Sus scrofa: one gene and its partners. The protein of the gene in region 6 interacts with the protein of the main gene of each other region in a pairwise test. Links are inferred from orthologs where the notes say so. Each region holds a gene or a part of one and is shown on either strand. Other genes may lie near its edges.

The links.
Region 1: the proteins of DAZAP2 (region 6) and PLSCR1 interact in binary tests that used the Homo sapiens proteins (3 or more experiments, as listed by UniProt). The two-hybrid records come from large-scale screens. The link is inferred for Sus scrofa from reciprocal best matches to the Homo sapiens genes DAZAP2 and PLSCR1.
Region 2: the proteins of DAZAP2 (region 6) and UBXN6 interact in binary tests that used the Homo sapiens proteins (3 or more experiments, as listed by UniProt). The link is inferred for Sus scrofa from reciprocal best matches to the Homo sapiens genes DAZAP2 and UBXN6.
Region 3: the proteins of DAZAP2 (region 6) and POLI interact in binary tests that used the Homo sapiens proteins (3 or more experiments, as listed by UniProt). The two-hybrid records come from large-scale screens. The link is inferred for Sus scrofa from reciprocal best matches to the Homo sapiens genes DAZAP2 and POLI.
Region 4: the proteins of DAZAP2 (region 6) and BATF2 interact in binary tests that used the Homo sapiens proteins (3 or more experiments, as listed by UniProt). The two-hybrid records come from large-scale screens. The link is inferred for Sus scrofa from reciprocal best matches to the Homo sapiens genes DAZAP2 and BATF2.
Region 5: the proteins of DAZAP2 (region 6) and TNIP3 interact in binary tests that used the Homo sapiens proteins (3 or more experiments, as listed by UniProt). The two-hybrid records come from large-scale screens. The link is inferred for Sus scrofa from reciprocal best matches to the Homo sapiens genes DAZAP2 and TNIP3.
Region 7: the proteins of DAZAP2 (region 6) and ROR2 interact in binary tests that used the Homo sapiens proteins (3 or more experiments, as listed by UniProt). The two-hybrid records come from large-scale screens. The link is inferred for Sus scrofa from reciprocal best matches to the Homo sapiens genes DAZAP2 and ROR2.

What each region holds. Positions count from the first base shown.
Region 1 is NC_010455.5:86,856,705-86,861,306, forward strand, and holds the start of PLSCR1 (phospholipid scramblase 1), read right to left. Parts: upstream 3,216-4,602; coding exon 3,143-3,215; intron 1-3,142. UniProt on the Homo sapiens protein: Catalyzes calcium-induced ATP-independent rapid bidirectional and non-specific movement of phospholipids (lipid scrambling or lipid flip-flop) between the inner and outer leaflet of the plasma membrane resulting in collapse of the phospholipid asymmetry which leads to phosphatidylserine externalization on the cell surface.
Region 2 is NC_010444.4:74,374,041-74,376,924, forward strand, and holds part of UBXN6 (UBX domain-containing protein 6), read left to right. Parts: intron 1-1,044; coding exon 1,045-1,142; intron 1,143-1,692; coding exon 1,693-1,768; intron 1,769-2,425; coding exon 2,426-2,510; intron 2,511-2,598; coding exon 2,599-2,884. UniProt on the Homo sapiens protein: May negatively regulate the ATPase activity of VCP, an ATP-driven segregase that associates with different cofactors to control a wide variety of cellular processes.
Region 3 is NC_010443.5:103,803,589-103,807,683, reverse strand, and holds part of POLI (DNA polymerase iota), read right to left. Parts: intron 2,655-4,095; coding exon 2,418-2,654; intron 1-2,417. UniProt on the Homo sapiens protein: Error-prone DNA polymerase specifically involved in DNA repair. Plays an important role in translesion synthesis, where the normal high-fidelity DNA polymerases cannot proceed and DNA synthesis stalls. Favors Hoogsteen base-pairing in the active site.
Region 4 is NC_010444.4:7,178,193-7,183,063, reverse strand, and holds the start of BATF2 (basic leucine zipper transcriptional factor ATF-like 2), read right to left. Parts: upstream 3,046-4,871; 5' UTR 2,627-3,045; coding exon 2,588-2,626; intron 1,004-2,587; coding exon 830-1,003; intron 1-829.
Region 5 is NC_010450.4:102,972,122-102,976,216, forward strand, and holds part of TNIP3 (TNFAIP3-interacting protein 3), read left to right. Parts: exon of another isoform or gene 1-1,717; coding exon 1,718-1,843; intron 1,844-4,095. UniProt on the Homo sapiens protein: Binds to zinc finger protein TNFAIP3 and inhibits NF-kappa-B activation induced by tumor necrosis factor, Toll-like receptor 4 (TLR4), interleukin-1 and 12-O-tetradecanoylphorbol-13-acetate.
Region 6 is NW_018085018.1:160,554-165,399, forward strand, and holds the start of DAZAP2 (DAZ-associated protein 2), read right to left. Parts: upstream 3,010-4,846; 5' UTR 2,945-3,009; coding exon 2,932-2,944; intron 1,934-2,931; coding exon 1,815-1,933; intron 1,406-1,814; coding exon 1,160-1,405; intron 260-1,159; coding exon 131-259; coding exon of another isoform or gene 1-130. UniProt on the Homo sapiens protein: In unstressed cells, promotes SIAH1-mediated polyubiquitination and degradation of the serine/threonine-protein kinase HIPK2, probably by acting as a loading factor that potentiates complex formation between HIPK2 and ubiquitin ligase SIAH1.
Region 7 is NC_010456.5:3,032,346-3,037,072, reverse strand, and holds the start of ROR2 (tyrosine-protein kinase transmembrane receptor ROR2), read left to right. Parts: upstream 1-1,688; 5' UTR 1,689-1,975; coding exon 1,976-2,063; intron 2,064-4,727. UniProt on the Homo sapiens protein: Tyrosine-protein kinase receptor which may be involved in the early formation of the chondrocytes. It seems to be required for cartilage and growth plate development. Phosphorylates YWHAB, leading to induction of osteogenesis and bone formation.

The DNA of each region.
Region 1 (4,602 bases), on a different chromosome or scaffold from region 6:
CAGCGGTGATGCAGGTCACAGCTGCAGCTCAGATTCAGTCCCTGGCCCAGGAACTTCCATATGGCATGGCTGCAGCCATAAACACACACACACACACACACACACACACACACACACACACACACTTAATATGGAGTTTAGATTTTATTCCAAGAGTGACTGATAGGATTTGGGAAATTTAAACAGAAGAATGAGTTCCATGATCTGCATTATGTCTTGCAAAGTTTTTATGAGTGATGAGCACTGGGATTTCAAATAACAAATGCGAATGCAATCCCTGTCCCACTGCCTAATGAGAGAAGAACTTCATACTCACCCTTACTCTAGGGATCTACACCAGTGTGGTTAACTAACTAGAATCAGAGACAAGCGCTTCGAAGGAAGAGACCAGGGTTTTGTGACTACATGTGCCAAAGGAAGGTGTTTGGATGGGGAGAGAGAGAGAGAGGGAGTTGAGACACCGTCCCTGAGGACCACCTTCAGCTGAGATCTAATGGATGCAAAGGAGTTGAGGAGGCAAGCAGCAGGGGATAGTAACAAACACAGTTGCTTTGAAAATCTGAAAAAAAAAAAAAGGACAATCTATCTGAAAGAAAAGAGACAGGCTTAAGAGGCAGTTAAGGAGAAAACAGAGGATCCCTTTGGGTTTGGTGGACCAGAACAAAACCTTTATCCTGAATGCAAGAGGAAGCAATGATGTATTCATTAGATACTGCCTATAATATGAATATATGTATTTTTAAACATCACTGGCTATAGTGCAAACATCAAACCATAGACAAGCCAGTGAAGGTGAGATATGAAATGGTTAGATTATTAGCATTATTTAATCTTCAAAAGATTCTTGGAAAAGGTAATTATTTCCTAAATCATTGGGTTAGGCCTATAGAATCACTTGAAATTTGGGTAATATTTTCATTTAAATAAAGCCCAAGTGAACATATTATTAATGTAATAGCAAATATTTGTCTTTTATTAACTGTAAAGCATTTCACTAGATGTTCTACACATAGTTTCATTTAATTTCCAAATTGCCTGAATTAGAAAATATTATGCTCATTTTATAGATTAAAAACTGAGGCTTGGACTTACAGCAACTTGCTTAAAACTACCACACAACTATTCAGAACAAAAGTCAGATTTTGAAGCCTGATTCAGTCTTTCTATACCTGTTTTCCCACTTGAAAAATGGGGATAATTAATGGTATTTACCTCATAAGATTGTCTGATAATTAAATTAGTTAATCAACATTAGGCACAGTAAACTCTTAATTTTAGTCTATCATTGTTAGCACCATTATCATAAAGTACCTATATTATTGGACTTCAGAAATAAAATTGAGCTATTTTTCTTGCAATCTCTCAATTCTGATTATTATCTAATTTAATTATGTATCACCTACTATTACTTAGCTAATGGGTGGGTTAAAACATCCTCCAAGTGCCTTGGGTGCATATCATAGATTTGCTTATAATTCTTCAAATACCAATCACATAAAAATTTATAGCAGCAATTCTCAACTCTGGCTGCTTATTTAAATCACCTGAGAAATTTAAAGAAGTGACCAATCCCAGGGGTCCACAACCAGAGCTTCTGCTTCTGTTTTCCTGGGATAGTGCCCTGATGCTAATGTTTTCAACAGTTTGCAAGTAATACCTAAGTACAGGCACTTTTGAGAACTATCACCTTAGAGTCTTGGAGTCTTTTTACTCCACATTCTTTTAAAATGCAAACATCTGGATGAGATCCAGGCTACACTGAGATGTTTCTGGCTAGATGGGTAAACAATCCATCCATCTCCCGAGCACATTTATTTGCTCAGAATAGAATCAAAATGCATACACCCTTCTGCCCAAACAGATTCCTTTTGATCCTAAGTCCCCAGGATGGTCTCTCAAGATGTGGGTACCCTGCCTACTTGCAAATCTGGGTGCACCATGAACTCTGTCATTCGGTAAAATTCTGGTAATGTTGATAACTGCATTTGTTTAAATGAAAATCTCTGAAGCCTCCTAGGCAGTGGTTCAAAAGAAATAATGTATTCCTTGGTTTATAGTGATATGATCCAGTTACTTTTCTTAGAAAAGCAAGGAGTTTGGGGTTGGTAGATGCAAATTATTACATTTAAAATGGATACACAGTGGGAAACTACTGTACAGCTGTACAGAACAGGGAACTACGTCCATTCTCTGGAGTTAGAACATTACGGAGGATCATATGAAAAAGGAATATATATATATATATACATATATATACATATATATATATGACTGGATCACTTTGCTGTATAGCAGAAATTGAAAGAACACTGTAAATCAACTATACTTCAATTAAAATTTTAAAGAAAAGCAAGATATGATTATGTCTATAAAAGTGAAACTTTTACATTTTTGTGTATAACAAAATAAAAATGAGAATTATCCTAGGTAGCTATTTTTCTGTTGCCTGCAGCTTCCAGGTTTAACCAGTCATCTTCTGCATGACAATCACTGAACACAATTAACCCCAGATGACAAATGACTCAAAAACATCCAGAGATAAATTTCCTAAAAATGATTGCATGACCATAATTTTCAGAACAAATGGAGACTCAGTAAAATCTCTTACTTAATGTATGTATTTTGGGGTTTAATATATATGTGACCTTATATTTTATTTGCTGAATGTCAATTCACTACTGTTATTAACACTACACCTTTACTATCCTGTATAAATAAAAAATATTTCAATGATATTTATGATAATATATAGTCAAAGAAAGATGTATGCTGCCAATTTCATCACTGCACTTTTAACACAGAGACAGACAGACAGACACCCTTTTGGGAATATCAGTAATTGATACATTTTGGTTTTTTATTTTTACTTTTTGGTCTTTTGAGGGCTGCACCCCTGGCATATGGAGGTTCCCAGGCTAGGGGTCTAATCGGAACTATGTCTGCAGGCTTACACCACAGCCACAGCAACGCCAGATCCGAGCCACATCTGCAACCTACACCATAGCTCACGGCAACGCCAGATCCTTAACCCACTGAGCAAGACCAGGGATCGAACGCACAACCTCATGGTTTCTAGTCGGATTCATTTCCACTGCGCCACAAGGGGAAATCTGGTTTTTTATTCTTTAAGCTAATGTTTTACCTGAGAATCCTGCTGAAGGATATTCAGGGGGATTCTGAGCTGGTGAGTGTGTTCCCGGATAAGGAGCCTTCATTTGCGCATCTGCAGTTCAAGGAGAGGTAAACATTTATCTTCTTAAAAAGTACATGTTAGAAAGAAAAATGCATTGTTCTTAGAGAATTTTTGTTTATATACGCCTGTGTTGTATTGAAAGAAAGTGAATTATTCACTGAAAAAAGCTGTGCCTATTATCAGAATTAATTTGCAGTAGAATACTGTTTCAAACAAATTCCCTTTGGATAAAATAGGCAGCTAAGTTCTGGGGCTGAATTTCTAGTTTGCAAAAATGCCTGATGAGTATTCTCTTCCATATCTTGATTTTGTTGTTATTAGAAAAGATAGATTGTTTTAAACTACATGTAGACTGTGAAGAAAAAGATAAATGAAACTAGCTGGATGTGGGAATGGTGGAACCAAGGATTATAGGTGATTTTAAAGATATCTATAATTATTGATTGAAGAATTATGTTCTAATTATTTAAAATAATACATATAACATACATATACTTCAGTATTTAAATTCCCTTTTTACGCGTACTCTGGAACTACACTATGAAGTTTGAATATAGGACATTCCAGTATTTGACTGATTTTGTCATACAAAAATCATAACTGACAATTACAATAAATAAACATGGTAATTTATGTTAGTATCTGCTAATCAATGTGGTTTGAATAATATATGTATGAATAGTTCCATTTCCCAGTTTTCATATTTGTGTTTTTCTAGTCATTCCTTTAACAACTGCCCCAGCCAGAAAAATATTTACTAGCATCTCCTGTGTCATCCCTATGGCTACACTGGCTCTGCCTTCATGGAGTTTATGGTCTCGTGGACACTGTCCTCATACCATGTTGTCCTCTCTTTGTTATGACTTATTAACTATGTAAATTAAAAATAGTTTCTTTTTGAATCATGAGGACATGGCATCAGTATGGAAGATAAAGTTAATGACACTTTCAATCTGCACATTTCCTGTATGCTTTCCTATCATGGGCCAGTCATGGGCTTTCAAAACCCACTCAACTCATGTGATTTGAAGGAAGGAAGGCTGGGTTGTGACCCACCCCCACCACTTCCTCCTCCATTCTATTGACTTCATAGTAACTTCAGCAGAATGGGATCCATGGATACTGCAAATTCAGGCGACAGAGAATCCTCCACTTCATTCAGGGCTTTTCCCTGTACAGACACTGCAGCACACCCCAAATTACCACATATTTCTGCAGTATCAAAAGCCATTCCATCCTAACCATCCCTTCTGTTTCCTGGCTTCAGGTGAGTGGCTGAGCTCCTAGTTCTATAGCTCTCGAGGCTCTGCCCACAGCCCCCACTCCCAACCTGAGCTTGAAAAAAAAGGATCAGACTCAATAGATCTCAAGGAAACACACTGCAAGTGTGACTTCAAGACCCATCCTTA
Region 2 (2,884 bases), on a different chromosome or scaffold from region 6:
CAAATGAATTTGGGTCAGATACAGGTGCCAGCCTTGCTTGTGAGACAACACGGTGTGGCTGTGCGCAGTGGCCATCCAGAGCGTGAGCAGATATGCTCCTCGCCTTAGTTATCCATTCATAGCCTTTTCCCACTGGGATGCTGAGAGAGTCCCTGGAGGTGCCTGGAGGCTAGGCTGGCTGAGGGATCAAATGGGGGCCATGTGACCTCTGCAGTTCTGCCCCTCCCCAGGGAAGCAGGTGAAACCCCAGAAGCACAGGGACTAGAAGATTTCCACTATTTTGCCTCCCCCAGCTGTGCACCAGGCAGCCACAGGTCACAGACCTCTTTTGCATCCATCCTGTCTCTGCTGCCTCAGTCTATCCCTAGAATGTCCCTCAGTGGGCTGGGGGATTAGGAGGGATGGTGTGTCCACGGTGGCCAGCAGGTTCCGGATCTAGAGGCTGCAGCGCCCTTGGCGGTGCTTAGTGCTGGGTTTGGGCTCCAGAGCAGAAAGCAAAGATGTGTGTCAGACCAACCTAGGGTGGCGTAACCCAGGCTGCCAATGCCCCCTCTTTCCTAGAGGTGGGGGGAGGGTGAGGCCCAGGCTGGAGTTCTCAAAAGGGCTTTTCTCCTTGTTCTGCTGGGCCTGCACGATCGAGTTTGCTTTGGTCACATGCTAGGGCCTGCTGTGAGAAAGTTCTGTTATCACTGGTGTCACTAGACCCAGTTGCTTGGCTGGCATGGCCTCCAGGCGCCAAAATGGGCACTTTCTTTTTTTTTTTTTTTTTTGTCCTTTTAGGGCCACACCCACGGCATATGAAAGTTCCCAGGATAGGGGTCAAATTGGAAATGTAGCCACTGGCCCAGATCACAGACACAAGGCCAATCCAAGCTACATCTTCTACCTACACCACAGCTCACGGCAATGCCAGATCCTTAACCCACTGAGCGAGGCCAGGGATCAAACCCATATCCTCATAGATACTAGTTGGATTCATTACCGCTGAGCCACAACATGAACTCCGGTGGGCCCTTTCTGACTCGCTTTCCTCCCTCCTCCCAGCACTTTTCCACCGACCCAGTGGCTGCTTCTATCATGAAGATCCACACGTTCAACAAGGACCGTGACCGGGTGAAGCTGGGCGTGGACACCATTGCCAAGTGAGTGGGTGGACCCCACCCCTCCCACCAGGGTCCCAGCTCCTAGGCCTCCATTGCAACCTGCTGAGGGAGCCTGGAGGGAGCATGGCCCTGGGAGTGCAGCCAGGCCCCACCCTTCACTCCCCTAAGCCCTTGGGGAGGGGGCTTGGCCTCTCTGGGCCTCAGTTTAGCTATCTCTAAAACGAAGAGTTTTGCCAATTTAGGGGTTCCCAACCCTGACTTCCCTCCCAGAGCATCAGAACATGAAGGAGGCAGGGTTTTCCCCTGCCCCCAGTTCCTCTGACTGAGCAGGTCCAGAGGGGCCCAGGGGTCCATGTTGCCCAGGAGCCTCTGAGCTATCTCTGGGCACCATTATTCTGTCTCTGCCTGCTCCACCCCACCGTGGTGGTTCCTCAGTGCCCCCAGTGGGAGAGCCTAGACTGAGGAGGCCCAGTGATGGGGGCAGCAGGGGTTGGGCTCCGAGGGTGTCCAGGGTATGATGGCAGGCTTTCCTGGGTCACTCGTAGTACAAGCTGACGTGGCTGTGAGCTGCCATCCTTGTTCACCCCAGGTACTTGGATAATATCCACCTGCATCCGGAGGAGGAGAAATACCGGAAGATCAAGCTGCAGAACAAGGTGTTCCAGGTGAGGGCTGCCACCAGACTTAGCCTGGTGTGGCTAGCATGGCCAGGCCCGAGGCCACCCAGGACCCAGTCCAGCAGTAGGAGCAGGTGGCCTGCAGATAGCCAGAGGGGGCCAGAGCCAGGCTGCAGAAAGGCCCCTGCAGGAGTTGGGAGTTGGCAGGTGGGGAGGGGGATTCCTAAGCACAGGTTGTGTACAGTATGCATACAGTGTCTGCTCTCCCCACCAGCCACAGCATGTTTCGGCTTTTCTTTGAATTCATTGGAAACACATCAGCACTGGGGAGATTTTTCACGGACAGACTTCTGGTTTCTGTGGAGAAATCAAAGGGCCTCCCACCCTGGCCCTTTGGTACCTGTGCAGCTGGCAGGGCTCCACTGTTTACTGGTGGCCCCCTCTGAAGCCCAGCATCACACAGCCCACCTCCCTCACTTTTGGGGATTCCCTCGCCCCTCAGCCTCCTTTGCTCTGGTGTTGACCTTTCAGGGTCCCAGGCCCTATGTAAGCTAAGCCCCACAGACAGCTTCAGGGGTTCATCCTCTCTGGGGACAGAGCAGCTCTGAGACCCGGGACTTTGGGAGGAGGATGGGGTGAGCAACAAGGCTGGTGGGGTGCATGGGGGCCTCCAAGGTCCCATATGACCTCTGGTTCTGCTCTCAGGAGCGCATTAACTGCCTGGAAGGGACCCACGAGTTTTTTGAGGCCATCGGCTTCCAGAAGGCACTGCTTCCAGTCCCTGACCAGGGTAAGACGAATAGAGAAGAGCCTTGGCTGAGCCCAAAGAGGGTGGTGGGAGGGGCCTGGCTCAGAGTTGACATCCCTGTATGTCACAGAGGGCCCTGAAGAGTTCTACGTGCTGAGCGAGGCGGCCTTGGCCCAGCTACAGAGTCTGGAACGGCACAAAGAGCAGCTGTTGCACGCCGAGCCTGTGCGGGCCACACTGGCCCGTCAGTGCCGGGTCTTCCGGCCCTCGCCCCTGGCCTCCCAGTTCGATCTGCCCATGGATTTCTTCAACCTCACTGCCGAAGAGATAAAGCGGGAGCAGAGGCTGCGGTCTGAGGCCGTGGAGCGGCTGAGCGTGCTGCGGACCAAGGCCATGCGCGAGAGGGAGGAGCAGAG
Region 3 (4,095 bases), on a different chromosome or scaffold from region 6:
GTACATGGAAAAATGTTCAACATCCCTGATTATTAGAGAAATGCAAATCAAAACTACCATGAGATACCACCTCACACCAGTCATAACAGCCATCATTAATAAGTCCACAAATAACAAATGCTGGAGGGGATGTAGAGAAAAGGGAACCCTCCTGCACTGTTGGTGGGAACGTAAGCTGGTACAACCACTATGGAGAACAGTATGGAGGTACCTTAGAAAACTATACATAGAACTGCCATATGACCCAGAAATCCCACTCTTGGGCATATATCCGGACAAAACCTTCCTTAAAAAAGACATTATGTACCCGCATGTTCATTGCAGCACTATTCACAATAGCCAAGACATGGAAACAACCCAAATGTCCATTGAGAGATGATTGGATTAGGAAGATGTGGTATATATACACAATGGAATACAACTCAACCATAAAAAAGAACGAAATAATGCCACTTGCAGCAACATGGATGGAACTAGAGACTCTCATCCTGAGTGAAGTAAGTCAAAAAGAGAAAGACAAATACCATATAATAGCACTTAGATATGGAATCTAATATATGGCACACATGAACCTTTCCACAGAAAAGAAACTCATGGACTTGGAGAATAGACTTATGGTTGCCAAGGGGAGGAGGAGGAAGTGGGATGGATTGGGAGCTTGGGGTTAATAGATGCAAACTATTGCTTTTGGAATGGATTAGCAATGAGATCCTGCTATGTAGCACTGAGAACTGTGACTATTCACTTATGATGGAGCATGATATTGTGATAAAAAAAGAATGTTACACATGTGTAACTGGGTCACCATGCTGTACAGTAGGAAAAAAATTGTATTGGGGAAATAACAACTTAAAAAAATTTTAAAAAGAGATAACCAATAAATGCTGTCTTGATAAAATGAAATTTTTACCACCTGTTCTACAAAACCATGGAAGTATTGAAGAATCACAGTTATTATTCATGTAAGGAAAGATTGTCACTGAGTTTCTGCTCTAGTGCCTTGGGTTAAGGATCTGGCCATTGCCACAGATGCACCATACGTTGCTGCTGTGGCTCAGATTCAATGCCTCATCTGGGAACTTCCATATGCCATGAGTGTGCCCTCCACCCCACTGTCCTGAAAAAAGAAAGTAAAAAGGAGAGATGGTCTCTAGAGCAGTTACAATTCATTACTATGTGCTAATTAATAGCTAACTTGACTGATTCCTATACACAATACCACACATTTACATCTGGAGACAGTAATTATTTCGAATACATCTTCGAGCCAGAAAGCAAACAAACACATTTTCTCATTAGCAAAACTCCTATCACAAAATTCTTGCACTAAAACTCAGTCATACTTTATCATAGGAAAAATCCTCAGGCAACTTAGTGCTCCTTTACTCCTCTCATTTTTAAAAATTAATCCTACAGTTATCCTTGTACAGTAAAGGAAGAAGTAAATCAAAGGTGATAGGTCTATAGCAGGAATTATTAAAGTGAAGTGACAGATATTTTCATAACAACAACAAAAAAAATGAGGGCTGGCAATTTGGCAATAAGGAAGAAATGAGAAAGCCTGGAAAAAATGAAAATAAGAACTGTAGTAAAGCCAAGTAATAATGTTATGTCACAGTACACAGTCTTCAATTTATTACAGCCTGACATAGTAATTGTTTGCCAGAACAGACTCAGAGTCACCCAAAAAACTTTAAGTTATGACTATACCAAATTGAGGAAGGCAAGGCAGTGTATAACACACTACGGAACCCAAACATGGGTTAAAATTGTGAAGTTATGACATCTAATGGTTACATTTCAGTAGTCTTAGAAATTCTCTTCCACAGAATTCTATTAATATCTTAATCCCGGCCAAAGCTATAGAAATGTAGTTTAACACATCCATTACTAATGAATGGTCTATAAAAATGTCAAGCATTTGATCTTCAAAGATACAAACTTGTCCCATGACCTAAACAGGTCACTGAACTCCTCAAAACATGAATTTCCTCATCCTTAAAATAAAATGTTGGCCAAGACGCTTTAGAAGATCCTTTGCAGCCTTAATATTTTATACATAATCTCAAAATAAGAGTTAGTGAAAGACCAACTTCTTTTTCTAGATGCAATTTACAGTATAAAAGTATAACCAGGGACAAAAAAAATAAAGGATCATGTTTCCAGGTTATAACTTTCATGATTGCATTCAAACTAAACAAAAGTAGGAGAAACTAGAAAAGTACTTTCATACTTTTCCTAACATAGATTCCTTCCAGAAAATGGCAGGTTTTTTCGGTTTTGACCAAGAACCAAGTGCATAGGTTCTAAGAATTAGTTACATTTATCTGTAATTTAATACAATTAAATATGCAATTTAATTTGTAACTTGAAATATAACAAAACCAATATACACTTTTCAAATACGTTTGTCTTACCAGGCATTTCCTTTATGTGGCTCAAACTATGAATGAGATCTTGAGAACTTTCAGGTAGTAAGACTGTCTGCTGATTTGGTTTAAAGACACCAGAAACTAATTTTGCCAATAATTTATTAGAAGCCACTCCAGCACAGCCAGTGAGACTCAAGTGATTATACATGGCTTCCCGCATCTCTGCTGCAATCTGAGATCCAATAAGCAGTCTGATGTGCAAGATGTCACGTAGGTTAATAGCTATAAAAACAGCCATTGTTGTTAAAAGTCACCACCAAAAATTTCATTTTCATTTTTACAAAGGAGTTTAAAAAAGATAAAGGGCTTAATGTATATCCATTCCCATACCCCAACACCACCATGCTGCTATACACTTAACTAGTCTCTTTTGTTCTCCACAGCAATTCTGTAAAGCAAGTAACTATCGCAAGTTAATTCCAAGGGCCTGTGACCGTGAATGCCTACTAGGAGTGCTTAATGACTAACAGATTACAGTAACTGATCTCTCATTAAAAATTCCTACTGGCATTAGTAAAACTTTTACTCATGTTTACCTGGAAGTAAGCATAAAAGTAAAAGTATTACTCTAATGAGAAAGCTTTAAAGATCTGAATCTAAACTTAAACATTAGTGGTATGTACTACTGAGAACACTTTTGGATTTATATTTAGTCTAAGAGATCTTTTATTAAAAGTATAGGGAAATTATACAGAAACAAATTTTCTGAGGTATGAAAATGGTATTAAAGTTTATATGAGGAGTTTCCATAGCGGCACAGTGGAAATGAATCTGACTAGAAACCATGAGGTTTCGGGTTCGATCCCTGGCCTCACTCAGTGGGTTAAGGATCTGGCATTGCTGTAGCTGTGGCATAAGCTGGCAGCTGTAGCTCCGATTAGACCCCTAGCCTGGGAACCTCCATATGCTGCAAGTGTGGTCCTAAAAAGCAAAAAAAAAAAAAAAAAAAAAGAGTTTATATGAGAGAGTTCTTATCCTCAGGAGTTTCTGAAGTTCATGATGCCTGTAATTTACTTTCAAATGGTTCTCAATATATCAACCAACCAATAAACAGAACACAAGATAAAGAAAATGTGGCAAAATGATAATAATGGGTACATCTACAAGGAAGAGCATCTTGACTGTACTCACTGTATTATTCTGTCAACTTTTCGATAGATTTGAAATTTTTTTTTTAACAAAAGGGTATGGGGAGGAGAAAGAATTCTTGAAGAATTAGACATTTTAGGAAATAAAATCTAGTTCTCGCTAATATGTTCCAATCAATAGAATCCAAGTTTGCTTTAACAATTATACAGAAACACAGAAACTTCTTGCTACCAAGACCTTGTAAGTGACAAAAGAGGACAGGTACAAGACACATTGAAGCTTCATATCTTCTTCTAAAAGAGAACTGTAGCTCTACCTCTGTTCTTTAATATCAGGAGGTGGAGAATGACTGGCGATTGATCACACAGCCCTCAAAAAAGAAGCATAAGAGGAAACATTTATGGCTGGCTGAGACCTAGAAGCAAGTAAGTCAGGACAAGTCTTACACAAAAGCAGAGTAGCTTGTCTTCTATGTGGAAGTCACCAGCAGTCATAAGATGTCTAAAAGTCTAATTAGATATTTAGGGGAGCTGACTGCGGCTTATATTCGCATGGAAATATCATCAGTTATTCA
Region 4 (4,871 bases), on a different chromosome or scaffold from region 6:
CATGTGAGATGAGAAGGCAAGTGCAGGTGGAGCCCCCCTCCCCACACCAGACTCACCAGTGGACAGGATTATTGCCCCCAATTTCGGATGAGGACAGGGAAGCTTAGCCAAGTGACTTGCAGCTAATGAGTGCTGCAGCTGGGACTCAGAAGCCAGCCCATCTTAACCCTGAGCCAGTTTCTCACAGCGTGGCCGTGGCCACCACATCAGAACCCCGACGGGCAGAGTGGTCATCACAGTGTAGCCCCCAGACCCCATTCCAGCCTCCTCAGGTGGGTGGGGAGGGATCAGGGGTCTGCATTTTTGTCTTTTTTTTGTTGTTGTTGTTGTTGCTATTTCTTGGGCCGCTCCCACGGCATATGGAGGTTCCCAGGCTAGGGGTCGAATCGGAGCTGTAGCCACCGGCCTACACCAGAGCCACAGCAACGCGGGATCCGAGCCGCGTCTGCAACCTACACCACAGCTCACGGCAACGCCGGATCGTTAACCCACTGAGCAAGGGCAGGGACCGAACCCGCAACCTCATGGTTCCTAGTCGGATTCGTTAACCACTGCGCCACAACGGGAACTCCAGGGGTCTGCATTTTAACGAGCTCCCCAGCTGGTCCCCACGGGATTCTCCCTGTTTGCCCCTCCTTCCCTTTTCCTCCCCCTAGATGGGAGACTGCCTCGAGGGCAGGCCCAGGCTGAGGATGCCCTGCTGTGCCCCTGGAGCCCAGTGTGTATCTGGAGCACGGCTTCCACTCAACACTCAGGAATTTCCAAATCACAGCTGCAGCCCCCCTGCCCCACCCCCGGCACACACAGCAGCGGAGGTGGAACTGCTCACAGGCCGGATGGAGAAGAGGTGGCCGGGCCAGGCACGTGACGTCAGGGATGGGAAGGGAAGCATCCCCACCTGGTGCAAGGCATCCGCTTTGTTCGTGTGCTTCTGCCGGCTTCTCTGGGCGGCCACCCGGTTCTTCTGTTTCTTCTTCAGCTGTCTCTGATGCTCCTCAGAGTCCTGTAAGGTGAGAGGCAGAGGGCTCAGGGGTCCCTACAGGGGCTGGCGGGCTGTAAAGCCATACACCCTTCTTGAGTTAAGTCCCTGAGGGTCCCCTTTCTCCCAGAAGCCATCTCTGGCTCCCTCGGTGTCCACACACCCCATCGCACACACAGCACCCCTGGGTGGAGTCCCAGTCACCCACATGTCCTACTCACAGCTCACGTTGGGGCAGCACAAGATGAGAGTCTGGGATTCAAACCCAGACAGAACTGACTTCACACCCACACTCTTTTTTTTTTTTTTTCTTTTTAGGGCCGCACCCATGGCACATGGAGGGTCCCAGGCTAGGGGTCCAATTGGAGCTACAGCCACAGCCACTTGGAATCCAAGCCACGTCTGTGACCTACACCACAGCTCCTGGCAATGCTGGATCCTTAACCCACTGAGCAAGGCCAGGGATCAAACCCAGGTCCTCATGGATACAAGTCAGGTTCGTTAACCAATGAGCCACCACAGGAACTCACACCCACACTCTCTTTATCAGCCCTGTTGCCCTGGGCAGGCCTTCCCTGTGTCCAGCTGCCTCATCTGCACAAGGGAAGACCAGTACCTTCCTCAAGCGTCGTAAGGCAGACAGCCCAAGGCCAGCCCACGGACCAGGGTTAATACAAGGCGGCCGTTGTTCCAATAGCTATTATTTCCACAGTCAAGGTGTTGATTTCTCTAGCCTTGAGCTTCGTCTGTGAGAGCAGGTCTGCATTCTGATTGGGTTCCAAGTGCCCGTGGCCAGCTCAGGCCCACAACTGAAGTTCATTTATCCAACAAATATTTTTTGAGCACCTACTAGGTGCCATGCACTGAGCTATGGGGACAGAGCAGCAAACCACAGAGAAAAAAAATTCCTGCCCCAAGTTGCTCGCATTCTAGTAGGACAAGTAGCCTTTAATGAATGAATGAATGGAGTCCCTTCTGACAGAACTGTGGCCTCAGAGGTTCACAGCCATGACCGTCCCCCTACACTGGGGTTCATGAAGCTTAGATGAAATATTTGACCCAAACACCCAGGGTTCTGGAAGGTCAGACAAGAGGAAACGCTGGGGACCCCACAGCCCAACCCCCCTCCCACAGATCACTCTGATTTCTGCAAGTTCTGAGTGCAGAAATCTCAGGCAAGACCCTGGCCTCCCTGGCTGAGGACTCTGCTTCCAGGTTCATGGCCACAGCAGATCCCTTCCAGGTGCTGGGGCCAAAAGACAGGAACCCCGGGGAAAGACCTGCAGTGAGAGAAGCAGGTGGGACTCTGGTACCTGGGTCCCGGGAGAGGGGCAAGGCCTCCACCAGAACCATGGCCAGAGAAGTCTCCCATTATGGCAATGAAAGAACAGGTAGGTTAGGAGAGAGCAGTAACCAGAGGCCGGGCTCTGGACTGGAGGCTGGATCTGCAATGGGAGAGCAGGTAAACCCTCATTCCAAGGATGCTCCGAGGAAACTGAGGCCGGCAGGGTCGGGGGGCGGGGGTGAGCCCATGTGAACCAAACTGGCACCGGGCGCCCTGGGGCCTATTCCCCTTCTCCTCTCCTGAATCCCGTCCCCTGTACTCACCATCCCAGTCAGCAGCTCGTCGCCTCTGCAGAGGTGCATGTTTGGAGGGAAAACAGAGGCTCACACCCGGTTCAGGGTGGCCCTCGGCTGCTGTGACCTCCCCGTGCCCTCTGGGGGCCCAAGGAAGTGGCAGCTCTTTAAATCCCCAGTGGCCACCCCGCCCCCAGCGAGCCAAGTTTCAGTTTCTCCTAAAGCCACCGGCTGCTCAGAATCCCGGGCTTGGCTTGGCTCACGTGGCTGGAATTTCCTAACATGAACTGGCCTTCCGGTTGGGCCCCTTCTCTGGGAGGAGGACGGTGGAGGGTGGCCAGAGGAGGGGGCCTGAAGGCCAGGTGCGGGGAAGGTGTTCTGGAAGAGGGAGAGCAGGCTGCCAGGGACAGAGCCGAGAGGAGAAGCCAAGGGGGGACCGAGGGTCACATGGGATATGGGCAAACCCCTGGGCTCTACAATTGCAGGAACCCAGGTTCACAGCCCACCTCTGGCATTTTGGAGCTGTGCAGCTTTGGGAAAGTGACTTACCCTTTCTGAGCCATAATTTCCTCATCTATAAAGGGAGATGATATAGATATTTATTTACAGGCAGGAACTTAAGCAAGATAATACAACCACCCTCAAACCTGGTGAGACCAGTGTGGAGGTGCGTCTGCAAAAATAAGCAATGGCCCTTGGAGTTCCCATTGTGGCGCAGTGGAAATGAATCCGACCAGGAACCATGAGATTGCGGGTTCGATCCCTGGCCTCTGCTCAGTGGGTTAAGGATCTGGCATTGCCGTGAGCTGTGGTGTAGGTTTGCAGATGCAGCACGGATCCTGCGTTGCTGCGGCTGTGGCCCAGGCCAGCAGCTGTAGCTCTGATTGGACCCCTAGCCTGGGAACCTCCATATGCTGCAGATGCAGCCCCAAAAAGTGAAAAAAGAAAAAGCAATGGCCCTTAAACAGGAGAACAGATGGATAAACGACTGTATTTTCATACCACAGACCCCACAGCAGTAGAGAGGGTGGTGTCTAGCGGCTAAGAGCACAGTTTCCAAGGGTATAGACTTTCGCCTTTCTATGCCTCTGTTTCCAAATCTGTAAAATATTTTGTTGTGAAGGTTAGGTAAGGCACAACAAAATTGTTAAGGCAGGTAAGGTACCGGAAACCATGCCTGGTGCAGAATAAGGGCTCAACAAATATTCACAATTATGATACGGTGAAAGAGCCAAAGCTGCACTTAGCCTCATGCCTAAAAGTTCGTAACATCCAATGGCATGAAAATGACAAGCTGCAACAGGATCTGAGCAACATAATTTCTGAAAGGCTGGATAATGTGGATACGGAATTATGTAATAAAAGTATAAAAATATGGAGTTCCCGTTGTGGCGCAGTGGTTAACGAATCCAACTAGGAACCATGAGGTTGTGGGTTCGGTCCCTGCCCTTGCTCAGTGGGTTGACGATCAGGCGTTGCCATGAGCTGTGGTGCAGGTTGCAGACGCGGTTCGGATCACGCGTTGCTGTGGCCCCGGTGAAGGCTGGTGGCTATGGCTCCGATTAGACCCCTAGCCTGGGAATCTCCATATGCCACGGGAGCAGCCCAAGAAATAGCAAAAAGACAAAAAAAAAAAAAAAAGTATAAAAATATGCATGGGAATGAGAGACACAAAAGTCAGAGAGTGGTGACACAGGGGCGGGGCTGGAGGTGGAGATGGACCGAAGGGGACACACAAGGACTTCAGTTGCGTCCGTGATGGTTTGTTGAACTTCAGCTGTGGGAACACAGCTGTCTGTGATAATAATATTATCTACACTTTGGGGTACTAAAATGCTTCACGTTAAGACTTCCATTAAAGACCTAACGAACCCTGAAGCCCCAGGCAAAACTGCATGGTTGTTCCCTAAGAGAGACCGTGCTTGGAAGGGCCAACAGTTTGGGGGTGGCAGAGCCATTAATCTCTGTCCTAGAAGAGCATAGCAACGGATGTACAGAGCAGAGTCCTGCGACCTGCTGACCAGAGCATCCAAAGCATAGTGCCTGAGTCCTGAGTGTTCAAGGCTGACAGAGTGGAATCACAGGAATGGCAAATACTAGATTTGATCTTCTGATGGGTAAGGGTGTCCTGAAGTACTGTGTAGAGAAGGTCACAGCTGCCTCCGAGCTTATTAAAAAAGAACTCTGCAATTGATTAGCAATGTCTGCCACATCGTGATTGATTAGTGTTGTCTGTCATGAGCAGGGGAGGAGACTCACAGTCCCCTCTGCCCCCAACCCCATGAGCATGTAACTACTTTGGGCTTTAGAGTCA
Region 5 (4,095 bases), on a different chromosome or scaffold from region 6:
TATATAGCTTAAATAAATCCATGGAGAGAATAAGGTTATAGTCAGAACATCAAATCTCTGCCAAATTCTCAACCCCTAAAGTACCATTGGCACTAGCCAGGATTCCTCTGAAAAAAGTACTGCTTACATTCAAACACTTGAGTCATCTTCAATGCTCTCACGTAACATATACCACATGCCAGAAAATTGCTCTTAAACATGGTGTGCCTGCTTACACATGCTCTTTACAGTAATGGTTTAGTTCATATTCGATACAAACAATGGCAGGTTTTCTTTTTTTCATAATCCCCAGGAGTAGACCAGAATCAATTTCCTTAGTTTTTGTGTGGCTCTTTTGCTTACTTTTTACATTCGCATTTTAACTGTGTACATTTCTAATTGAACACCTACAATCATTATATCACCAATGCTGCATAAAACCCTAAAGGATTTAAATTCACAAAGAAACTGAACTAGAATCTTGGCCACCTAAGTGATGACATCGCTCTCAGTGTTGTGTTTGATAGAGTGTTCTGTTCTAATCAGATGGGCTTCTCCCACTTCAAATGCCTCTGGTAATTATTTACAGAGCCTTGGTTTAACTCATCTGGATTTGAACCTCAGCTCTCAATCAAAAAACAAAAAACAAAACAGAGCAAAAGGTCAGCTTGGCTGGGTAAATTCCCTTGCAACACTTCTGCCAAATAAAAGCCTTAAAATTAATAAGTATATATATAAAATCTGCCTCTAGGGTCAGGTAAAATGTTTAATTTCTTCCTCTCTTGGCTATTACATTTGGTCTTGTTATTATTGACTTAAATTGGATAATCATTTAGTTAAAATTTGTTGCACTGTTAGCAATGATGGTATAATGTGCATTAATGTTAATAGACAAAATCTAGCTGCTGAGTTCCCATGTAAGTTGTAATTTAAATCTGGTTTTAGAGGAATTCCTTTGTCTCATTCCTTAAACTTCATTGTGTTCATAACTCTGCATTCTAGTCTCCAGGCCATCAGTCAACACTATGCCAATTAAAACAACAATAATTAAATCTGGGGGTTTTTTTTGTTTTGTTTTGTTCTGATTTGATTACTTTTCCGGAATATTTGGAGTCCCTCTCAAAAGGCATTACTTCTTTTTTAATGATACACCCCCACAATTGCTTATAAAGGGCAACTCTGTTGAACATATTTCAACAAACATGCTCTGCTTTCCCATGTATATGAGCCTTTCATTTCTATCTTCTGCTCAGCTTATAAGTTATATTTAGAAACTTGGGCATGCCGATATTTAGTGGCTTCACTTAACAGCTATTGTCAGTAAACTGTCTTTAAGAACTTCAAGCAGTATTCATACATCAAAGCCTTGTTTTAAGGACGGATGATTTGCCCAAAACTGTGACAACACTGGGGAGGGGGAGGGGAGAGTGGAGTGAGGTGTCATGAAATAGAGGTGAGGGGAATTTTTTTCTCAAAGTATCCATGTTATTATTTTACTTCTGAATTCCTGATACATGCTCAAGGAGGAAAACATTGCAAACTTCCCTCCTGGACAAAGTGAAAAAATAAAATTATAGCCATATGTATCAAGGTGGAGTCCCCCCCTTGAAGAAATATTCATGAAAACAGGACAGGAGTATCTCAGATTGGACAAACCCAGGTAACACTTCTTCTGAACTCATTTAAATTACTTAAGAGAAAAGGAAGCTAAAAGTAACAGCAAGTTAATATTTCTTAGGTACAAATATATGAAGAAGACTTCAAAAAGGAGCGATCAGACCGAGAAAGACTTAATCAAGAAAAAGTGGAACTACAGAAAATTAATCAAACTTCTCAATCCCAGCTGAACAAGCTGAATTCTCAGGTATAGGTCAAAATCATCTTTGCCAGAACATGTATATTTTATTTTTATTTTCTTAATTTAAAAAAATAGACTTTTTGGCTTCTGTTAATTGGCACTGGATTTTTTTTTTTTTTTTTTTTTTTTTTTTTTGAGAGAGAGAGAGAAAGAGGTTAGCACCTGGAATGAAATCATTCTTAAACCATCTTGTAAAGAGATGAAAATGACTGGAGAGTCCTTTTAACTTAAGTATATTAAGAAGTTACCAAGAACTTGGATTCCAAAGTCTTTTATAAAATCCAATTCTTTTGATCTTTTTCTCATAATATTTATCTTGCTAGAAAAGGAATTGAACTACCTAGCACTCAAACTCAAAGCCAAAACACTCCAGTACAGTGAAATTGTTTCTAAACTTGTCATTTTCTTTGAAGGACTATGTTAGAATGTTCCTGGCTTCCAAAAACATAACATATTGCTAAATGTCATTAGTGAAACCAAGAATTTTGTTCAATAGGTTCCCAGATTTAATGTAAGTGGAGCACTCTCAAGGAAGCCAGAGAGTGTTAGCCAGTTTATTAGAATAGAGTATTAAATGTAAGTATACTAAAATTAAGAGTAATAGAATTTATTAAAAGTAAGCTCAAGAAGTTGCCATGGTGGGTAAATATTGCTGTTAATGAGGAAAATGTAGCTAACTCAGTTTTGGCTTGAGTAAAGAAAATAAAACACAAATTTCAATTTGCAAAATTATGCTGTGCTTTTCAATAAATAGGAAATCGCTGTGGGACATGGCTGTGACAGCTCTTTAGCTTCAAAATTCTTAGTCTTAGAAGCGAATTTAAACTATTTGTCATCCTCTCTTTCCTAATACAAAGTAGACTGTGAATTAAATTTAATTTCTTCTTTGAAATCTTTTTTAAGGAGTAACTTGAAATCCCTAGTTTTATACGGAAAATTATTTGACAGAACCACTTCCTTTCTAAAAAATTAGAAGGAATAAGATAGTGGTAAAACTATAATAAAGACACTTTTTCTGAAAATAATTCATACAATCTACTTTCTACAGCAATGGGTAAGAAAATGTTCTGATTGCTCTCAACAAAGAAATTACTGTCTCAACTTTAGGTCTTTATATGCAAAGCAGCCTTAATTTCTTTTAAGTTGTCACTGCACAAATTATTTTACTTCCTGCCATATTTTAATTTTATTCATTCTGCTATGTTAAATTCAGATTCATTATAAATATTTGTCTGAATTGGCAATGTTCCTGCCATTATAGAAGTTCTAGTACAACCAGAAACACACAGCCATCTACTTAAATTATAGACTATAATCCATAGTTATTTTTGTTCCCGTGTCATCTGTGATTTTATGTTATCAACAAAATAAATGTATTGTCTATAGTATGATATAACCATGCTTATGATATGTTAAAACTATCAAAATTTTCCTTATAATGTTAGTACAAGCATCTGTTCTTCAGAAGTCTCATTTCTTCAGGTTAAAGGATGATAGAATTCAAGATAAGTAACAGATAGCTTAAAAGTCTATGTTAAATGAATTAACAACCAATTAAATGCCATTATATTATCGAATCAGCTTTACCTTTTGAATAGCATATTACTTGAGGTCCAAATTGGCCATTTGACCAAAAAGGAAATTTTAGGTCAGATAAAAGGTATTAGTTGGTATTATATTGCTGGTATTAGTTGCTTGTATACCAGAGTTTATCCCTCCTATCACTGAGGATGTTTTAAGACAATCACCGGTAAAATAGTCAGTGTGGAGAGAGATACTTAGGAAGAATTCAAGGATGAGAGCCCAGTGTTCATGCTTGCTTTAACAATAGGTGAGAACCTTGAGCAAATATTCAAATTTTCTCTGCTTCCTTTTCTTCATCTGTAAAATGACAAAGTTGTTTCTAATAACTCTGAAACCTCTGTCTCAAAGTAAGTTGCTTAGCCTCTCTCAGTACATTCATCTGTAAAATAGAGTAATGATACCTACCTCATAATTCACAAAGTTGTTCTCAGGATTAAGTTAAAAAAAAAATCTATATAAAAACATCTCACGCAAGCCATGGCTCATAGGTATTTCATAGTCTCTTGGAAGGGGAAGTTTTAATGCTTCATTATAATTAGCCTGCTACATTCAGTTCCTCATAATTTTGATGCTTTCTTTCTGCAAGGCATTCTGCTATATGCTGTGAGGGAATTTAAGTGATCTGTGCTACTATAAGACTCATATATTGTGGGGGACATATCTAGTCTATGGCA
Region 6 (4,846 bases):
GCACCAGAAAGACACCCCAACAACATGTGTCTAAACTGCAACTTCAGGTTAATATGACTAAAGCAGTTACATTGTGAGAAGTGCTGAAGGTATGTGACGTCTTTCCCGGCACAGAGGTGGCCTTGGTTCTTCACCAGATGGTGTAGCCGCCATCTGAGCCACCCATGAAGAAGTTTCCCTTCCGCTGAGTTACGAGGACATTCGCTCCCTGCATGACTGCCAGCTGAGCAGCATTGGGAGGGCATCCAGGGGGAGGAGGCTGAAAGGAAAAGACAAGGTTGATTGGGCACCGGGCAGCTGATACGAGAGAAGTGGACAAAGATGAAAGAGGACCGGTCAGGAAGATGGCAACGTGCTACTTGAGCCAGCAGTGTGGGTGAAGCAGGTCTATATTCTCTGTGAGCCCCAAGACATAAACAGAAAACAGATCCTACCCCTCATTTAAAGGGTCCCAGATCCAAGATAAAGCCTAGGGATCCCTCCTGGGTATGCACAGTCCAGACCCATAAGCATTTGCAGGGTGGAAAATCCCTCTGACTCCCATTCCAAAAAATGGGGAGGGGTTACCAGGTCCATGGCCCTACACCACAGAGTTCCTCAACAGTTTTCACATGGATAATCTGAAGGCTCTACCTGATGACAGCATTCTCACCTCATTGTTAGCATATGGTTACTGCGTGAATGGCCCTAGCAAGGACCATTTGGGCTCTAGTTACCATACATAGGGAAACTAAGTGGGAGACATAGTAAAAGCCCTAGTAAAGTCTTCCTAAAGGGAACTTAACAGGGATACGCATTCTACTTTTTAATCATCATGGCTCCTGATAAAATGCTGTGCAAATATTAAGTAAATGCTTATGGAATGAATGAGGAGTGTTACTAGACCAGTACCAAAGTGAACTGGAAAAGCAGCAGGCAGGACTCCTAAGACAGAAACAAAGGAATCTGGTTAACTCAGACCTCAGTGAATATGCCAGAGGCTACTGACTTCCCACAGTTCTCCTGCCCCCTCAAGTGAATTCTGCCTGATTACTGGACGTCAGTGGTTGCACCAATACCAGCAACTACTGCCCAGGGATGATGAAAGGATGACTATGTAGTCATTTCAGAAAGTTAATATACACAAGGGCTGAGGTTTTTGTGATAAAGGCATACTCACAGGAATGTTGCCAGCAGTAGCGCCAGCTCCAAATCTGGCACCTGTATCATACCCTCCTTCCACCAGCACTGTTGAACCAGGTGGATAGATGGGACCAACTGGATAATAAGCCATGGGGATTGTGGAACCTAAAGGTCCAACAGCCACAGACTGGGCCATGGGAAGGTACAGTGAGGCGCCAGGAAATGCAGCTGACATGGTGGGGACTGTGGCAGCCCCTGGGTGCACAAAGCTCGGACGATAGAGCTAGAAGAGGCAGAAGAGAGGGCAACACGTTACTTTATGACATTCTTATTTCAGATCTCTTTCATGAGGCAATTCTTAATTATTGTGCAGATTACACTCTGAGTTACACAAGTTGCCTTTCCACCAGCCACTCAATATCCTCCTGGATCACTTCCTGCTAGAAATAATGTTGGGCTCAAAGAACGCTAACTCATCTTCTCAACTTCAGCCTGTGCCAAAGAGCAAAATAATCAGATAATGCCTTCTCAACCCCAACTGAAATTGCTGAACTATAAAGAGGTTTTAGATTATCCACGTGAGCTCTCTCTCCTGTTTGTGGAGAGTAAATACATGTGTGGAGCCAGACTTAGCTAAAGACTGAAAATGTGATCCAAGAGTACTCAGTTCAAGTCTAGTAAACTGGAAGCACCTCTGAATAGGCAGGTGGAGCATCAGTATAGGGTGGAGCCTGAGGAAGATGCAAGGTCTGAGGGTACACAGGATTCCCGGGAGGCTGCACCGGGTAGGTTGGCTGCGTTGGATATTGACCTGGAAGACAGGAAAAAAAACAAAAAACAAAAAAAAGAATGTTGCCTACCACACAGAGCAACCAAAATGGGGCAGAGCATACTGGGTAGCTAACCTCACTGAGCCAGCAAGAGGTTTGCAAAAACACTGTCCTAGAGGGCCTGATTCCTGGAACCAAGAAAATAAACACTCTTTGTACCCTTATAACTGAGATGCTGGATTCTAACTGGGCTGGAAGGTCTCTTTACAGTAGCACACTGGTACAAGGGGAAAGTCTATCTAGGCCCAAGATCCTTCCAGAATGGGCATGTCTGCGCACCCATTCCTGTCGATGTTTTAAGTGTGTGCGTCCTCTCTGCTCTGGTGGTCCCCCAGGGCCTGGCTGAAACTGGCCTAGAGCTCGTGAGTAACGGTGTTTGTAGTCCTCCACCTCACAGGTTCCTACTCAAGGTCGACTTCCAAATAAAAAGAGTGGTGAAAGTGAGCCTTGGGATGGGAGAGGAGGTGGAGGCGAATGTCCTAACACAGGAACTGGGAGACGTTCAGGCGGCCAGCGAGGTTAAGGGGAAAGAGACCCTTCGGCCTGCCCGGCCCGCCCACCAGGGCCGGCAATTCACTAGTTAAGCCCTGGGGCCTGCCTGTGGTTCCGGAGCGCGGCGCCCCGCCTCCGCAGGCTCTCCATTGGCCTACCCAAATATCAGCTCTAGCTCCCCATTTGCGCCTGCAGATGCCCATCACGACAAGCCTTCTCGCCCCCCCCCCCGCTCCAACGGCCCCCCACTCGAGCCCGGAGCTCCAAACTGCGCCACAGAGTTTAAGGGGGAAAAGGCCAGGAGGGGGCGAGCAGCCGTAGTTCGGGGATGACGAAGGCGTCTGGCGCAACCCCCGGCACTACAGCTGGCCCAGGAGCGCGGCGCAACTAGCCCCAGGCCTGGCTTTTGATGACCCTTGGTCCCGGGCCCGCTCTCTCCGGGCCAGCACTATTCTCCCCGATGGCCTCAGCTACCCCCTGTCCTTGCCTTTGCTGTTCATGGTGGCTGCGGGTCCGGTTCAGCTCGGCGTCGCGGACGGTTATTTTTTTCGTCCTCTTCCTGTTCGTAGTCACTTCCGTGTCACGTGACGATTCGTCCGCCTAGCGTCACCCGACGCCCGAATGCCGCTGCCACCGGAAACCCCGCCCCTTCGCCAGGTCTCCAGTAGCTGGAGGAAGGACCCGCGTGATCCGCCCACTCACTTTGGCCCCGCCCACTGGGTCGAGCCCTCCAACCCCCACCCTTGTCCCTTGATTGGAAGAAAACAAAGTACAGGTATTGTCTCAAAACAGTATCTTTTCTCTCTTGGTCGCTCTGAGGCAGTACCTTCACACTGCTCCCCGAAACCCTTCCCACCTACGCACTGCAACTCAAGGTCACCTTACTTTGAGAGTCTTTCCACAGGGGGCACAGTGCTACGAATTTCTCTAACTGCCTGAAATACGCTCCTCAAACCCTTGATTTATCCCGTGTTCCCCTCCCATTAAACCCAACTTAAGCCTCAACTCCATAGAGGTTTATTTTGCTGGTCGTATTCACATCTGTCCTTTTCTGACTTAGACCATCACTCGAATTTTCTCAGCCTGTCCATTCTACCGACAGGCTTCTGTGTTTATTTCAGTGTCGCTTTCTCACTAAAAGGAAGGGTATGCTGTGCTGTGAACCCCCCCCCCCCCCACACACACTACAGCTAACACTGAAACTGGCATTCTTGTGGTCCCCAAGGAGTGCCTGTGGCCCTGCCCTTCCTTTGGTACCTGTTACAGGCAACTGTGTGATACCTCATGTATATTTTCCTTTGTGTATCTCCTAAATTAATTGTTCTTGGAGTTCTCTTGTGGCTCAGTGGTCTAAGGACCTGGCGTTGTCGCTGCTGTGGCTCTGGTTATAGCTATGGCAAGGGTTTGACCCCTGGCGTGGGAATTTCTGCATTCCTAGCTGAGGCAAAACAAAACAAAACAAAACAAAACAAAAACCTTGTTCTTAAGGGCAAAGATGGCATCCTTTCAGGCAGCAAATAAGTTTTTCCTTCCATTCTTCGTTTTAAAATATCTGCTGGTGTTGCTCTGTGCAAGTAGAGATGGAGCTGGACAAGACAGGCAAACATTGTTTTCTTATGGAATTTACATTCTATACTTCAGTAAGAACATTAGAAAAGCATCTGAAAAGGGAAAACTTTGGAAAGAAAAGCCCTCAGTAAACCGTAGAAGCCTGATAAATATTTGCTGATGAATGATTTAAACCACTGATTTCAGCTCAGCAATCCCTTGCTTTTGTTTCCAGTAGCATATTATGCTCAGAGTTTTCAGAGCAGAGCACCCCTGCAATGCTCTGGGGGGTCTTCATGAATCTTCACAACAGCCCTGTGTGATAGCCAGGACTTGTTTGAGCATTCCTGGCTTTTTTGTTGTTGTTGTTTTGTTTTTGTCTTTTTGCCATTTCTTGGGCCGCTCCCTCAGCATATGGAGGTTCCCAGGCTAGGGGTCCAATCGGAGCTGTAGCCACCAGCCTACGCCAGAGCCACAGCAACACAGTATGTGAGCTGTGTCTGCAACCTACACCACAGCTCACGGCAACGCGGGATCGTTAACCCACTGAGCAAAGCCAGAGATCGAACCCGCAACCTCATGGTTCCTAGTCGGTTTTGTTAACCACTGCGCCACGGTGGGAACTCTGCATTCCTGTTTTTATTTTTTTATTTTATTTATTTATTTATTTATTTATTTTTTTTTTTTTGGCTTTTTGCTATTTCTTGGGCCACTCCCGCGGCATATGGAGGTTCCCAGGCTGGGGGTCGAATCGGAGCTGTGGCCACCGGCCTACACCAGAGCCACAGCAACGCGGGATCCGAGCTGCATCTGCAACCTACACCACAGCTCACGGCAACGCCGGATCGTTAACC
Region 7 (4,727 bases), on a different chromosome or scaffold from region 6:
GCTGTTTAAACTCTCCCGTCAGGTTTGTGGGGAACCCAGTCATGTGAAAACGGCACTCCGATGAGGGGGCTGAAGCATGATTCCTCCAAAGTACACACCAAGAATAAGTGTCAGAGCTGCTCACCCAATGGTTCTGGAAGCACAACCTCAAGCACAAGCAGTGGAAAGCAAAAAGGGGCCCACAGAAAGGACAAAGCTTGGGTGATTAACTGCTTTTTGAGGGGCAAGGCTCATAGGACCTTTACGGCCGCCCCGTCTTGTTTTTCACCAGATCCAGAATGGAAGCGTCTGGAACTAGTGCTTCCAGACCAACTCTGAAAGGCTTATTTACTCTTAAAGGGCCCCCAGGGGAAGAAAAGGGAGGAAAACCCCAGAGATAAACACCTGGCAGTCTGCACACAACACCGGGAAGAGCCCCCTCGCCTCCCAGCCCCTTTCAGACCAGCACAAGCACAAGCGGCGGCCGGAGGAGCAGCTGTGCGCGGGGTCGCCGCAGTTGGATAATGATTTTACCATCTTCTCCCACTCGCCCCTGGATCCCTGGCTGCCCCTGGCCAGCCACAGTCCCAGTCCCCAGTCTGCTTTAGGAATGAGCACTGTGTGAGACGTTCCCTAAGCAGATTCGGGGCGGAGACAGAGGCCTAAATAATTCGAACGGGGTAGTGGGCGGGGCCGGCTCAGCCACGTTGCCAGCAGACCACAGCGAGAGGGCTTTTATTTCCTGCCTTGTGGGAGGCGGTGGAGGGGGCAGTTCCAGGGGGGGCAACCTCAGGGGTCTCTGGGCCTAGCACCCAAGGCCGGGACTCTCCCGAATTCATCCTAACTAGCAGGAAATGGTACTTGAGCAAAAAAGCCAAACTGCTTGATAATCACTTAAAAGATAAATCTCCCAAAACAAACAACTCAGACCCCCGAGGTTCTGACTCCTTTCTTCAAGAGAGCAAAAACAAAGAAAATTCCTAAGTTACAAACAGAAGGGTCAGGCCTTCCAATTCCAGACCTTTGCATGTGTTAAAGCAAAACCAAGAATAAGCAAGAAAATATGCTATTTGAATTGCGTTCAAGATGTCTTTTACAAGTGAAGCAAATTACTTCTGCATGTTCTGGGGCTCTGCAGAGTTCTGCCTTTAATGGGTAAAATTACACAATTTGCTTTTAACAGTAAACCCAAAGCCGCGGTGGCTTCAGATAGCATCGCACTCCCGAGGGCTCCTTCCACGCAGCTCTACTCTCAGCAGTTTCTAAGCATTTTGGAAGGTCGCAGTTGTCCCCACTGGGTGTAGCAGGGCGAAGAGGGGCCCGGGAGGGCGCCGGCAAGGACGTGACCTGTTACTTTCCTTGCATGTTTTGGTTCTCTTCCTCCCGCGTCGCTGGTTTTGGGGGACTAGATCTTTCTCTGATCTGCTCGGTGGTGGCCGGCGGGGCGCAGAGTCATTCTGAGTTACAGATTTATGACCAGGCCCCCGGAGGTCCCGGCTCCTAAGGGTGGGTGTCAACTGTCCCGGGCGTCTCTGCGGCAAGGGCAGGCCCCACAAGGTCCGGCTGGACGCTCCCAAGGTTCCACCTCTGCGGCCAAGCGTGTGGAGGTGCAGGCCCGAGAGTGGGCCGGAGAGGCACCTCCCGAGACTAGCGGCTGCCCACCGTCCCAGCTCCTGCTTCCCGCGCGCCCCTCCCGTCGCAGGCATATCCCTCCGGCAGGGGGCGCTGGCGCCGGACTTGCTCTGCCCATCGGGGCGGGCGAGCCTGGGACCCTGCCTCCCTGCTCGCCAGCGGTCCGCCCCTCGCGCTCGTCCCGGAGGCCGGAGCCGAGCGGCGCATCCGGGCGGGGAGAGGAGGAGGACCACGAGTTCCTCGAAAGGGATCAACTCACGAAGCGCCCGGGAGGAAGGGCAGCGGACGCGCGGCCGAAAGGGGTGGTGGCGCCCGGACCCCGCGCCGCGCCGGTCCCCGCGCCCCGGCCCCCACGGCCCGCGGCATGGCCGGGGGCTCACCGTTGCGGTTGCTGTGCGTCCTGGCCGTCTGGGCGGCCGCCGCGCTCCTACTCTGCGTGTCGGGGACCTCAGGTAGGACCCGCTGGTCCGCGCCCGCCCTACAGCACGTCTTCCGTGAGTGAGACGGGGGTTCGGGGCTCACGCGTCCGTCCCTTCCTTCGCGACCCTGCTCCGGCCGCCTCGCCGGCGCCGGTGCTCCCGAGCGAGGGGTGCCTGGAGGGGCCCCTCAGCGCCCGCCTGGGTTCCGTTCCCCAGCCGGCGCCCCGCTGCCCGGGGCTGCTTTCAATAAGGCGCGCTCTGGGGATGGCTAAGTGTTTCCAGAGGCCGGGCGGGCGGCGCCGGCGCCCGCGAGGAGCCCCTTGCCGGGGGTTTCCGAGGGTCGTGAGTGTGAATGCGGTCCAGCCCCGGGTCTGCAGAAGTGTCCGAAGTTCTCAGGACCTTGCATCCGCCTTGCTCGCCAAGGTTACCTTCCGGGGCTCCCGGACAGCGGCACCCCGGTATACGCGAGATTCCCCCCACCAGCGCGGGCGCCGGGACCAGGCTAAGGGAAGTGCACCTCCCGATCCCCGCCACTTGGTTGAAAGGGGATTTGGCTTCCCTTTTGTTGGCCCTTCACCCCCCTCCCCCACCGCCGGGAGGTGGCGTTTTCTGTGCCTGGGATGGGGGTCCCCCGGCGGCTTTTCAGCTACTGGGGGACCTGGTCTCCTTCAGGCGGGCTGGAAGGGCGGACCCGGCTCCCGGGTGGCGTTTTTCTCGAGGGTCGCGGGCATTTGGGCTGCGTGAACCCTGGGGCGCACAGGAGCTGCCGCCTGATTAGAGGGGACCACGCCATCCTGATCTTGGGGGGAACCCCCGGCCGGCACCCGCTGCGGGATTCGCGCTCACTGCCTCTGCTGGGGAGGGCGGCTGCGCCTCCAGGTCTGGAGGTTGAGGTGGTTCGCCTCAAGTCCCAGAAATGTGAGAGACGCTCCTGACACCTAAGTGGGTCTCAGCGTCGCCCGTTCTGTGCTTTGCGCCCCACTGCCCGCATTTCTGGAGGCAGGTGAGAATTAGGCGACAGGCACAAGAAGAGCGCCAAGCTTTTCTCCTGTTCTGCTGCCATTTGCGCGCTCCAAGGACCGGGCCCTTTCCTGGGGGGCGTTTAGGTTTAAGCAAGAGCTGATTACGTCAGACATCCCTGATCACTTGATTTGGGAAGGGGGTTTGCGTTTATGTCGCTGTTCCTTAAAGCATAAACCGCTCAGGGTGCACGGTGCGAAGTCAGTTAACTGGATCTTCTAAGTCAGTCTGTGGGGTTCTAACCACATCCCTGCGGTTTTCTGCAACTGCCCCCGCCCCGCTAGAAACCTTCCCCGCTTTCGAGTCAGGGGATGCAGTTGCTTCCCTGTGGGAAAGGGAAGAGGGGGGGCTTAACGCTGGGACTCTACTGGCGACTGCGCAGCGTTTGCGTAGTGGCCACGCGGGGGTTAATTGCCAGGCAAAATCTACCTCGCAAATCTGTGGCCGGGGGCGGTTTTTAGTTGCGTTTGCCAAGGAGGAGTTGGAGGTGGGTGATCTGAGAAAGGATGATGGGTCTGTTGCTTAAATCAAGGTTGTAACAAGAACTGGAAAGTTGCTCATTTGGGGCGGAGTAGTTTAAACGTTGCCGTCGTTTCCAGTCGAGTTTAAGACATCTCTGAGGAACAAAGCAAACCAGTGTTATTTTCGTTAATTTCTGAACCCTGTGTGGAGGTCATTTTCTTTTTCCAGGAAAAGAATAATCTCCATAGAAGAGAGAGTAGGGAAGCTGTGTATAATTCTCCTCCTTCTGGAATGCTAGGTTAGCTGAAAATTCAAAGAACATAATCATATTCGAAATATGAATACAATTTTATGATTAGAGGAGATTTGGGTGTTTGGCATCTTTTCTGCTGTGAAGAGGAATCCTTGTAATTTGAGTGTATTTTATACACAAAACATAAGTTACTATGTTGAAAAGCTTATTCCTAGAGGATTTATATACGTTCTACATTTTTATAGACGGCTCTGTTCTCTAAAGAGACAAAAGCTTGATTTGAGACTGTATGCCTTGCCTGGGTAGGATGGGCTGGGAGTTTTGGGGTCCTCCCTCCCCGGCTTTTGACAGTGCCATGTTTACTTCTGGCTCAGATCCCTGGAGTGATGGTGGTAATAAATAATGATAGAGATCCATTTGGAAGTAAGTAAACGAAAACATCTTGAATAAGAAGACTTTGTGGAAAAAGAAAAGGTTTTATATACTATATAGGAAGGCAACATGTTTTTCTTATTATGGCTCTGTACCAAGCAAAGAAGAAGCACACATTTGAAAATTCTCAGTGTGTAATAGTGAGAGAGAGTTTAACCCTCTCGGCTACTTGATAAAAAAAATGCCATCTTGAGACAAGGAACACCACTGACCCAATGTGACATTCAGTGTGAGCTGCTGTACTAAAGCGTTTATAAAAACAGTGATGGGTGACCAAGGGGGGCTCTACTTTGTGAGGCTGAAGTCTTAATTAGCGAAGCAAGTCATAGTTAGAGAACTGACAAGAAACTGCTTAATATTTTGCATGCCAAAAAAGCAACACGGGCTTAAAAATGTGCATTTACCAGGAGTGGTTTTTGGTGAGGGTAGCCTGCAGATTTAGGAGGCAATGTGAAATAACATTCTTATTTTTATCATTAAACCCTTTTTCTATTGTTTGGCCCAGGTTCCATGGAAATTGGTGCTTGCAT